Linked DNA regions of Rattus norvegicus. The protein of the gene in region 2 binds, or shares a complex with, the protein of the main gene of each other region. Links are inferred from orthologs where the notes say so. Each region holds a gene or a part of one and is shown on either strand. Other genes may lie near its edges. The genes, in order: Lyrm4, Nfs1 and Iscu.

The links.
Region 1: the proteins of Nfs1 (region 2) and Lyrm4 are in contact, whole or in part, in a crystal structure (PDB 6W1D), measured with the Homo sapiens proteins. The link is inferred for Rattus norvegicus from reciprocal best matches to the Homo sapiens genes NFS1 and LYRM4. Residues at the interface, in NP_066923.3 of Homo sapiens: Leu56, Arg57, Pro58, Leu59, Pro68, Leu69, Pro71, Arg72, Leu74, Asp75, Leu78, Glu314, Tyr317, Arg321, Asp372, Arg412, Phe413, Thr414, Thr415, Glu417, Glu418, Tyr421; in NP_065141.3 of Homo sapiens: Phe23, Tyr26, Asn27, Tyr28, Thr30, Tyr31, Arg34, Arg35, Asp38, Val65, Arg68, Gln69, Ile72, Thr78, Asp79, Lys80, Leu81, Ile82, Ile83, Asn85.
Region 3: the proteins of Nfs1 (region 2) and Iscu are in contact, whole or in part, in a crystal structure (PDB 6W1D), measured with the Homo sapiens proteins. The link is inferred for Rattus norvegicus from reciprocal best matches to the Homo sapiens genes NFS1 and ISCU. Residues at the interface, in NP_066923.3 of Homo sapiens: Tyr360, Val361, Glu362, Glu364, Ser365, Leu367, Met368, Ala369, Lys371, Glu399, Asp400, His403, Ser404, His429, Arg432, Leu433, Glu435, Met436, Ser437, Pro438, Leu439, Glu441, Met442, Trp454, Thr455; in NP_998760.1 of Homo sapiens: Tyr35, Val40, His42, Tyr43, Glu44, Val49, Gly50, Ser51, Leu63, Val64, Gly65, Ala66, Pro67, Ala68, Cys69, Gly70, Val72, Lys74, Phe90, Lys91, Thr92, Phe93, Gly94, Cys95, Gly96, Ile99, Lys135.

The regions. Positions count from the first base shown.
Region 1 is NC_086035.1:28,968,798-28,972,448, forward strand, and holds part of Lyrm4 (LYR motif-containing protein 4), read left to right. Parts: intron 1-1,630; coding exon 1,631-1,751; intron 1,752-3,651.
Region 2 is NC_086021.1:165,096,756-165,099,827, forward strand, and holds the end of Nfs1 (cysteine desulfurase), read right to left. Parts: intron 2,268-3,072; coding exon 2,178-2,267; intron 1,313-2,177; coding exon 1,249-1,312; 3' UTR 635-1,248; downstream 1-634.
Region 3 is NC_086030.1:48,512,310-48,515,805, forward strand, and holds the end of Iscu (iron-sulfur cluster assembly enzyme ISCU), read right to left. Parts: intron 1,888-3,496; coding exon 1,809-1,887; intron 1,008-1,808; coding exon 922-1,007; 3' UTR 543-921; downstream 1-542.

The DNA.
Region 1 (3,651 bases), on a different chromosome or scaffold from region 2:
CACAAAACTGATCAGTTAAAGTAGAGTGGCATAACTGGGAAAGAAACTACCCAGGCTAAAACACCTTTGTGGTTCTGAGCCAGTGGAGTCTCCTCTTAAGGCCAGTAGTACCCTGTGCCAAAGGGGGTGTGGGGGATAGAAGGACACTGTGGTGTTGTCATGTCAAAGGAATGTCTAGAAATTGAAATGAGATTTCTGACTTTGTATTTGGGTGTGCATGTGTGTGGGCCCATGTTTGTCTCGGGGAGGGTAACATACAAATCCCACAGTTCATGTATGGAGGGCAGAGGACAACAGAGTGGAACTGGTTGTCTTTCAACTTTATGTGGATTCCAGGAATGAGCTCAGATCGCCATGCTGAAGCAACAAACGCCCTTACCTACTGCGCCTGCTGTCCAGCTGACGTGGATCTAACTCTGAGATATATGCTAAACTTCTGAGATGCAGGCTTTGGGAAGCTGAGGTTTTAAAGTGTAGAGCCAAGTATTCTGAACGTGACGTTGAGCTAAGTTGGTTTGAGTTGTAGAACATTTTAAGAAACTCTCTGGTGTTCTTAAACTTTGGGGAACTTTACATTTATTTCCATCCTGTGAAATGTTCTTTCTCCTTTTAGGTGTTCTGAACCACTTACCTGTTACTTAAAAAAAAAAAAAATCAGGGTATTGATGACTTCTTAGGTTGTGATGTTCTTGCAAAAGCTTTGCTGAATCCCAGTTGAAGAATTAAAGCAGTGGTTGAGGGTATGGGCAGAGCTCAGTAGTCAGGCACACATTTTGCCTGGTTTAGAGCTCCAGCCACAAGATCTTGTTATAAAACCAGTTTACAAGTAGATGAAAATATTAGAATTAAGCCAGGTGGTGATGGCACTCACCTTTAATGCCAGCATTCAGAAGGCAGAGGTAGATAAACCTCTTGAGTTTAAGGCCAGCCTGGTCTGCACAGGGAGTTCCAGTATAACCAGAGCTACACAGAGCTCTTGAAAAAAAAAACGAAATGAGAGAGAGAGAGAGAGAGAGAGAGAATATGAATATATTATAATTAAGGAAAGAATGGTAATTCATGCCTATAATCCCAGTATTTCTCAGGCTAAGGCAGGAAGATTGCAAGCTATATACCACCCTGGCCTAGATGGCAAGACCCTGTCTAGAAAAAGTAGAATTAAAATGCCTGGTGCCATGAAGGTGACAGTGTGTCCTAAAAAAGTACACCAGAGATGCCGTGGACCTGCTTACCCAGTTGTCATCTAACGGGCAGGAATGAAAAGGCTCATCACTGTCCTCGTGCGTGCATATGAAGTGCATCATTTGTCTCCATTCGTGGTTTGCCTCTTCATAGCAAAGGTTAATTACCCTTGCTAATGAAGGGAAATTGCTAATTGCTAATGAAGGGAAATCAGACGTGCAGAACTCTGAAGAGCCAGTGATCTAAGGAGCAGTTTGCCATTTGTGTGTGCCTTGTTTTCCTAGATCTGCTTGCTTAGCCATCCTCGAATCGACAAGCAAAGATCAAACTGGGTTATCTGTAGGAGAATATTCAGCCGTTAATTCTAGAGAAAAAAATCTTTTAAATTCATTTAAAGGCAGAATCTCATACTTGCTGACATCTTTTCTTTTTTCTCTGAATTCATTAGAATGTATGCTGTCAGGAGAATAAGAGATGCCTTCCGAGAAAATAAGAATGTAAAAGACCCCGTAGAAATTCAAGCCCTGGTGAATAAAGCCAAAAGAGACCTTGAAATAATCCGCAGACAGGTAAGATGGCTCAGTGACAGACTGCTCTTCATTATTCGTCTTCAGCTGTGACATTCCCTCTGTGATCGGACATCACTGCTTTGGTGTTTGTGATTTACACCGCAGGATGGCGAGGCACTGTCCTCTTTCCTAATGCAGACATACAGAGATAAACTGTCCTATCGCCAGATTCAAGGGCATTCTGCAGGAAAATACAAGCTTTCTGGGACTTCTGGGGCCTGGTTCTTCTAAGAAACTGAGCTCTCAGGCTTTACTGAAGTTCATGGTTTCAGTGTGTCTTAATCCAAGTGTTTTTATGATGTTCTGTACATGGCTATGTGGCATATACCAAAGCATAAATATATCCTTCCTTTACTAACATTTGTCATCAGAATATAAGATGAGTAGAGTGGGTTATAAGCATGTATGTTACCATGTGACTGGTGTGTTTTTAGGCACAGGGTGCAGAGCATATCTGATTACATGCTGGCCCACAGTGGAGCTGAGGGGTGTTTTTCATTTTATTCCACATCACCCTGACTCCGGCTTGTTTTTCCTGACCTCTGTAAGGTGAGCCTCACCTGTATGTAGCATGGTCTCCTGGCTAGTGCAACACTGTAGTGTCTGACTTCTGGATAATTGAAGTGTCAAAGACTAATGTAGTTTTCTATTGATTGAATTTCTGCCCTGAACTTCCCATTTCTCTTTTCTTCAAATTGGCATAGCTCCATTTCTTTATTCATCTGTTTTCACTCTTATAGCAAATTTGTTTATGAAGTGTGGAGGGTGAACATTTCCAAAGTTCTGTTGTGTTCTGGTGCGGGCTTTGTTGGTTCCCCCTAAGAAGATGCCTGCTTGCCAACATCTCACCACATCCAGTCTTCCCCGCTGCTTTTCACAGTTGTCTCAAAATAGAAGCTAAACAAGAAAATGGTATTAAAAATGAAATTTGCATTTTATGTCAAGATTCAGTCTGTTTCCATTGCTTACATAGTGGAGCACTCTTTTTTCCAGAGTAGCATCAAGACGAAGAATCCTCTGAGTTCTGCAGTTATCTAGAGAGAGACTATCCAGCCAGCCACATTCACATGCCTAGGAAATGATCATCAGCTAAAAGCCTGACAGGAAAAGGTCACCAGGGAAAGGCCAATCCACACATTTGCATATACTTGAGAGCTGTAGGTACATGAGTCACTTGGAAAACTTGAGGCCAATGGCACTTTCCAGGCTCCAGTGGGTGGATCATTTCATGGAATCCTCTAGCAGTAGAACTTAGGAAAATAAGCAGCTTAGGTCTGTGCATTATATAAACACAGAAAAATAAATCGGTTCTTCTGCACGTTTCTCTGTGTAGAGGTCAACAAGCATGATCAGAATACAAACTGTATTAGAAACACAACCTGTAAGTAATCTCCTCCACCATCTCTCATGTCATCTGTGAATGCCTGTACAGTAGCCTCTTGGTTTGAAATGCTGAAACTACTCTCAAAAGATAAGCCAGGATTAAGGTCATGGCTTCATGATAGGACAGTTGCGCACTGTGCACAAGGCCCTTTAAGTCTATCCCCAAAACTAGAAAGAGAAAACAAACCAAAAAATACAAAGACCAGACAGACCGTGGCCTTCTGCCAACTTCCCAGTGAACATACACTGAGAACAGGCCGGAACATCAGGAGCAGTGGACCTGCCTCAAGGTGTCTGCCTCAGGACAGCCCAGTGACCGCACTTTCCTCATGAGGGATGCACACTGCCTCCTTTCTAGGCCAGGGTTTCCATAGTAACTTAGTAGAGCCACAGGTTTCCATGTCAGACAGGCCTGACTAAGGCAGTACTCTCACTGCACTGGAAAACTTAGCAACCTGAGTTATACCTGAGCAACCCGCTGATTCCTGTTTGTCCTCTCCCATCAAGTCTTCAAATC
Region 2 (3,072 bases):
ACATCATGGCCGTGGGGCAGCCTAGAACATCATCCCTGCATCCACTGGTGCTGCCAAGGCTGTGGGCAAGGTCATCCCTGAGCTGAATGGGAAGCTCACTGGCATGGCCTTCCATGTTCCTAACCCCAATGTATCTCTTGTGGATTTGACATACCGCCTGGAGAAACCTGCCAAGTATGATGACATCAAGAAGGCAGTGAAGCAGGCATCCAAGAGCCCACTAAAGGGCATCCTGGGCTACTCCTGCAACTTCAACAGCAACTCCCACTCTTCCACCTTTGATGCTGGGGCTGGCGTTGCTCTCAATGACAACTCTATAAAGCTCATTTCCTGGTATGACAATGAATATGGCTATAGCAACAGGGTGATGGACCTCATGGCCTAATGGCCTCCAAGGAATAAGAAACCCTGGACCACCCACCCCAGCCCAGCAAGGACACTGGGAGCAAGAGAGAGGCCCTCAGTTGCTGAGGAGTCCCCGTCCCAACTCAGCCCCCAACACTGAGCATCTCCCTCACAATTCCATCCCGGACCCCATAATAACAGGAGAGGCCTAGGGAGCCCTCCCTTCTCTCTTGAATCCCATCAATAAAGTTCGCTGCACCCATCCCACCCCCAAAAAAAACTTACAGAATAAGAGGGGAAATGGAATTTATTTCTCCAATCTTCAAATCAACAAAGTTTAATGAACTAAGCAAATTATTAGAATAATGGGTGGAGTCATGGATATTTCTACATTAAATCAAAATACAGAAAAGAAGCTGAGACCCCAAAGGAAACGAGACTTTAATACAACTTGCTATTGATATAAAAGATGTCTTTTGAAGCCACAAAAAAGGTTAAAAGAAAGATTGTTTATGCCTGTCCCTAATGGCGCCAGTCCAGCTGAGCAGCAAGAGTGAAGATTCACAGAGAAGCAGTCTTTGAACCTAGAGCCTTCTTCTAGTTCCTTCATCTGCCCACGGGTAGGTAGTCCCCGTGGCAGTAACACAGCAGTGCCTACAGGTCCTCAGGTAAGAATGGCCACACTAGACAGCGGAGAAGAGCTCCTGAGGAGAATAGGGAACGTGTCTACAGAGGAGCTGAGGCTAGCAAAGATCCTCCCTTCAAGTTCTCACTTGAAAACATTCTGTGGTGAAGCCACTGAAGAACTTCCAATCTGACTTGAGCATGTAATGAGGTTCCTGGCTGTGCATGGGTCGGAGAGGCCAGAGCAGCCAGGCCAGCACGAAGTCACAGTCCACTCTTCTAATGCTGGGTCCACTTGATGCTCTTGAGGTCAATGCCATCCTGCACCATCTCCCAGAGAGGACTGCCAAAGAAAAGAAGCACTGAGTGAGTGAGATTTAGACAGAAAGCAGCAGATCACACTGCCTCTCAGGCCTGAAGAATCATTTGCCTCCTGTCCTTGTTGCTTCTCTGCCTTACCCTGGTACGGCAATATAAGAGAACCCCAATATAAGAGACAAACAAGTCTTTTCTAGTTTTTATAAGTCCTGCTCCATCCCAGGTTCTTCAGACCTTCCAAAATCAGAAAGACTATCTATTGCTTTAACCTGAAAGGATGTCATAGATCGCAGGCCTGAGCACCTGTCCCTCTTATACAAGAAATGCTACTGAGAAGATTGTGGGTAATGACCTTCAACCCAACCTACTTTGTGTGTTGTGGGAGTGATAGCTATGAGAAGTTTTTTTGTTGGCTTTTGCCACTGAAGATGAGACACAGAGCCTCACACACATAAGGCAGTGTCTTCTGCTGAACTGAGCCTGACAGCCAACTACTGAGCTTGGTGCTTTCATGTCCCCGGTCAGTTCTCAACCTTAAAGGACTCACACACAGTCTTCCTGCTGCATCCTGGGGGCCATAAAGTCAGGCATGTACATGATCTATGGTTTGAGGTTTTTGTCTCCTACGTAGGCACTCTACCACTGACCTTTACCTTAGCCTCCCATTGGTTTTTTGCAGGGCTGGGGATCAAACCTTTACTGTATAAGCAACCTGGTTTTGCAAACAGATTCTGAAGAACAAGAGGCCGAGGAGGTCTCCTTCCTTGCTCTGTGGAATCTTTACATCCTACAAACCCTTTTCCCTTGGGTTTCTGGCAGTATGAACAGAGTCTAATGATGAGAAAGGAATCAGCAGTATGGCGTCTCCCAGAGCCCAGGCAGGCGCACACCTCATTTCTCGAAGACGTTTCACATGGTGGATGCACTTCTGCACGGTGTAGTCTACCTCCTCCTCTGTAGTGAAGCGGCCGATGCCGAACCTGAGAGAACAGAGAAGGTCTCACACCTGGCTGCAGGTTTGCCTTTTGGTCGTGTTGACCAATACTCACTGAGGACTCACTAAGTAAAGACAAAGGGAGGGCTGGAGTTCCTGCTTAGCATGCATGAAGTCCCGGGCTCAATCCCTGACTGGACTGGTGGTGCTCCTCCAGTCCTCGGGAGGTAGAGGCAGAGTAAGCAAGGTCATTCTCTGGCTACAGAGTCAGTTGGAAGCCAACCAGGTGTATGAAAGCTACCAGAGCAAAAGAGGAAAATAGGAGATGGTAGGCCCACCTCTCTAGGTAAAGGTTTCTGAGAACACAGCTTGAGAATGAGAAGCCACTGACACGTTCCCTACATCTACTCGAGAGCTCATGGGCAGAGGATCTGAGCACAGGACTTAGACATCCTCATCTTCACCAAGATTCAAGAAGGGGCAGGGGCACAGCTCAGCACAAGTGTGCTTGCCTACCATGTACCATTCCCCCAAACTGCATAGACCAGCATAGTGAGCACGCTCCTGCAACCTCAGCAGTCTGGAGCAAAGGCAGGACAGAGTTTAAGACTAGCCTGTGAATTTCTGACAAGACCTTAACAAATCAGGAGCAAAGCCACACCCACTCACACCCCACCACATACACCCACCCCAACACAGTCAGTCACCCAAACACACCCACACACACACTCACACACAAATGCCCATATTCACACACACAGACATACAGAAAGTCATTTCCCATACTCATACACACACTCACAGTCATACACATAAACATCTACTCACACATACACAAAAACAAATGCACA
Region 3 (3,496 bases), on a different chromosome or scaffold from region 2:
CCCTTCCCTGAGCTACATAACTGGGCAGCTCAGGGGAGGAGCAGCTGCTACCAATGTTGGAGTCAGTGTGTGTATCTGGAACTGAGGGCTACGGCAGTGCATGTACTTGTTTCAGTTGAACGTGAGAAACACACACTCGCACCGGATGAGCTTCTCCAGTCAGCTTCAGTTCACTGTCCACCACACAAAGCCTGGGAGGCCTTGGGAGGTTAGAACCATTTGCCAGAAGAAGGCTGGAGGCCTGGGCCTAGAGTACAACGGTGTAATCTCCCAATGCTTTTCCTGATTGGTCCACAGGCTTAGGGGCCAGCTTCTGGGGTTACTTTCTGACTTTCACGGACCAATGGATTATTGCAGGAACGCTTGCTCAGAGTCCTTGTGAATTGACCATGCTTCCCAGCATAAAGAACACCAGCCGTCCCCTCCAGCCTTTCAAAAGAAGCTAAGTGGCTGTTGCTGTCACCCACTGCAGTCTGGCCTTGGGAACCCTGAGGCGCTTGGCTGCACTAGGGGTGGGTTAGGGAGTCGAGAATCAGGTTCAGTAGAGAAAACCATCGTCTTCCATTTTTTATTATAATATACACGCAGATCTGCTAAACACACAGTGATAGATCCTATCAGAGCCAGCACAAGGTGCTCTGCTGGCCGTCTCCCCGCAGCTTGGGTACAACTCCCTGTCACTCTCCAGAGCTTAAGACTTTGGTGCTGATTTCAGTCCCAGGTCACAAACTCAATCAAGACATCAACTGCACTAAGGACACACGTGAGCTGAAAGGAACACAGGATTAGGCGTAATCAACGGCACATTTTGCTTGTATCAGAGCCATAGTGCAAACAGTGAGTAGTGTGCGTTTTGCGTAGCTTCTCTGATGTGCAGGGTGGCAGGAGGCCTGCTGTGAGCGGCTGGAGCGTCCTCAGGGCTCACTGCTTCTCCGGCTCGTCCTTCTTGGCCTCTTGTTTCAGTTTGTAATCAGCCAGGGCAGCCTTGATGGCATCTTCTGCCAGCACTGGAAGGCACGGAAAGGTAGACAGCTTTAATTTCTAGACACTGGAGGGGTGGTCTCCACATTTTATAGTTATACACACATCATGGCATATTTGTGTGTTGTTATAAATATGTATCTATTTAGAATATATATGCATGCGCCTGTACATGTATGTGATGGGTGGATGTGCCTGGCACGTGTGGTGGTCACAGGACAACTTTGGGGGGTGGGTTTAGAAGTTCTAACTCAGGTTGGGTGGCCATCTCCCTGCTGGGAGGTGGTGAAGGAAGAGAAGCTTTGTAAGCTGGAGGGAACTAGAATCAGAAAGACCCAAGAGTGTGCGCCTGCTACACCGACTGGGACGGTCCTGCCTTCCTGGCTGGGACAGAGGGGGCACTGTGGACAGAGATCAGGTCCCAGGGAGTGTGGGCTGGCCGTCAAAGGTGATGGCTGAGCTCAGTCGTAAACCAAGAATGGCCGCTGGCAGTCTGTCTGTCTGTTCACCTCCTCCCACACCCACCCGTGAAGGTCAGTACTGAGGGTGAGGTTACAGGGTGGGGTGTGGGTGAGAAGCTGGAAGGTGGCAGAAAGCCTAGTATGTTAGGGTGATGTTGCGTTCCTGCTTTCTTGGGGAGGCTTAAGAGGACAGGAAGGTGTCAGATCTGACTGCAGGCTCTGAGGTGCAAGGCTTCTTGTGGGACAGTGCAGTGAGTGTACCACGGCCCCAGGCATTGCAGACAGACTGGGGAGGCACAGAGTGTGGGGTGGCGGGCACAGCGCACTCTGAGCAGACCCGAGCTGCCTGTTATGCGGGGCACTCACTGGAGCAATGCAGTTTCACAGGCGGGAGGCAGAGTTCCTTGGCGATGTCTGTGTTTTTGATGGTCAGGGCTTCCTCCACCTGAAATGTTAGGGAGGAAAGTGCAGTTTCAGTGAACTTGACCTTGCTGAGGGTGGGCAGAACACACCTCAGGACAGGCTGTCTGGGAAAACTCCTGCTAAGTAACTCAACACTGTTGGGCAGGACTGCCACTGTATACCAAGGGATCTGTAGTGGGGGGACACACACCTGCGCTGCCTGGCTGGGTAAGCAAGAACAAGACCTGCTGCCCCTTGAAGGCAGGCATTGCCTAGGCTGCTATGCAATGTCTGCCTGAGGAGGCCTGGGTCTGAGAGCTGTGAGGGATGAGAGGCAGAGAGGCCTGCTTATGCATTAAGAAAAGCCAGTCTCGGGGTTGGGGATTTAGCTCAGTGGTAGAGCGCTTGCCTAGCAAACGCAAGTAAGCTGGCAAGCTTTGTAAGCTGGAGGGAACTAGAATCAGAAAGACCCAAGAGTGTGCGCCTGCTACACCGACTGGGACGGTCCTGCCTTCCTGGCTGGGACAGAGGGGGCACTGTGGACAGAGATCAGGTCCCAGGGAGTGTGGGCTGGCCGTCAAAGGTGATGGCTGAGCTCAGTCGTAAACCAAGAATGGCCGCTGGCAGTCTGTCTGTCTGTTCACCTCCTCCCACACCCACCCGTGAAGGTCAGTACTGAGGGTTCGGTCCCCAGCTCCGAAAAAAAGAAAAAGGGAAAAAAAAAAAAAAAAAAAAAAAAAAAAGAAAAAAAAAAAAAGAAAAGCTAGTCTCCTTCAGACGGGAACCTCGAGGTTAGAGAAGGTCTTCCTACTGTCTGACCATACAGTTCAGAGCCCTGAAAGGCCAGGTCCTGGGAGCAGGTGCCCAATCTCACTTCCCCTTTCTCCAAAGCTGCTTCTTAACCAACTTCCTTTGAGCCATTTTCTCCCAGAACAAGCAGGTCTGGGTCTCCCTGGCCTCCAGGAGTTCAATAACCAGATGCCCGAATCTGGAGGAGCAGGTGGCTGTTAGAGAGCTGGCTGGCGTTTTGAGCACAGCAATCCATGACTGAGCTTCCTGAACTGGGCCCCAGGAGGGGGCAAAGGGTGAGCACACCACTTTAAGACAGGGTCCCATACAGTCTGGGGCGATCTTTAAATTGCTCCTTCCTGAGCTTCCAGGGACTAAGCCACTATCCAAAGACTATACATAGACTGACCCTGGACTCTGACCTCATAGGTAGCAATGAACAGCCTAGTAAGAGCACCAGTGGAAGGGGAAGCCCTTGGTCCTGCCAAGACTGAACCCCCAGTGAACGTGATTGTTGGGGGGAGGGTGGTAATGGGGAGGGGAAGCCCATATAGAAGGGAAGGGGGAGGGGTTAGGGGGATGTTGGCCTGGAAACCGGGAAGGGGAAAAACAATTGAAATGTAAATAAGAAATACTCAAGTTAATAAAGATAAAAAAAAAAAAAATTGCCCCTTCCTTCTATGAGCTGGGATTACAGGTTGGTGTGCCGTGTGCCACCACCTTGTGCTGGTGTGGGTAGTTTCACAGCTACTGGGTCTTTTTTTTTTTTCTTTAAATGCTCCTTAGCTTCTTTTTAAAAAACATTTATTTATTTTATGTATATGAGTACACTGTTGCTGTCTTCACACACCAGGAGAGGGCAT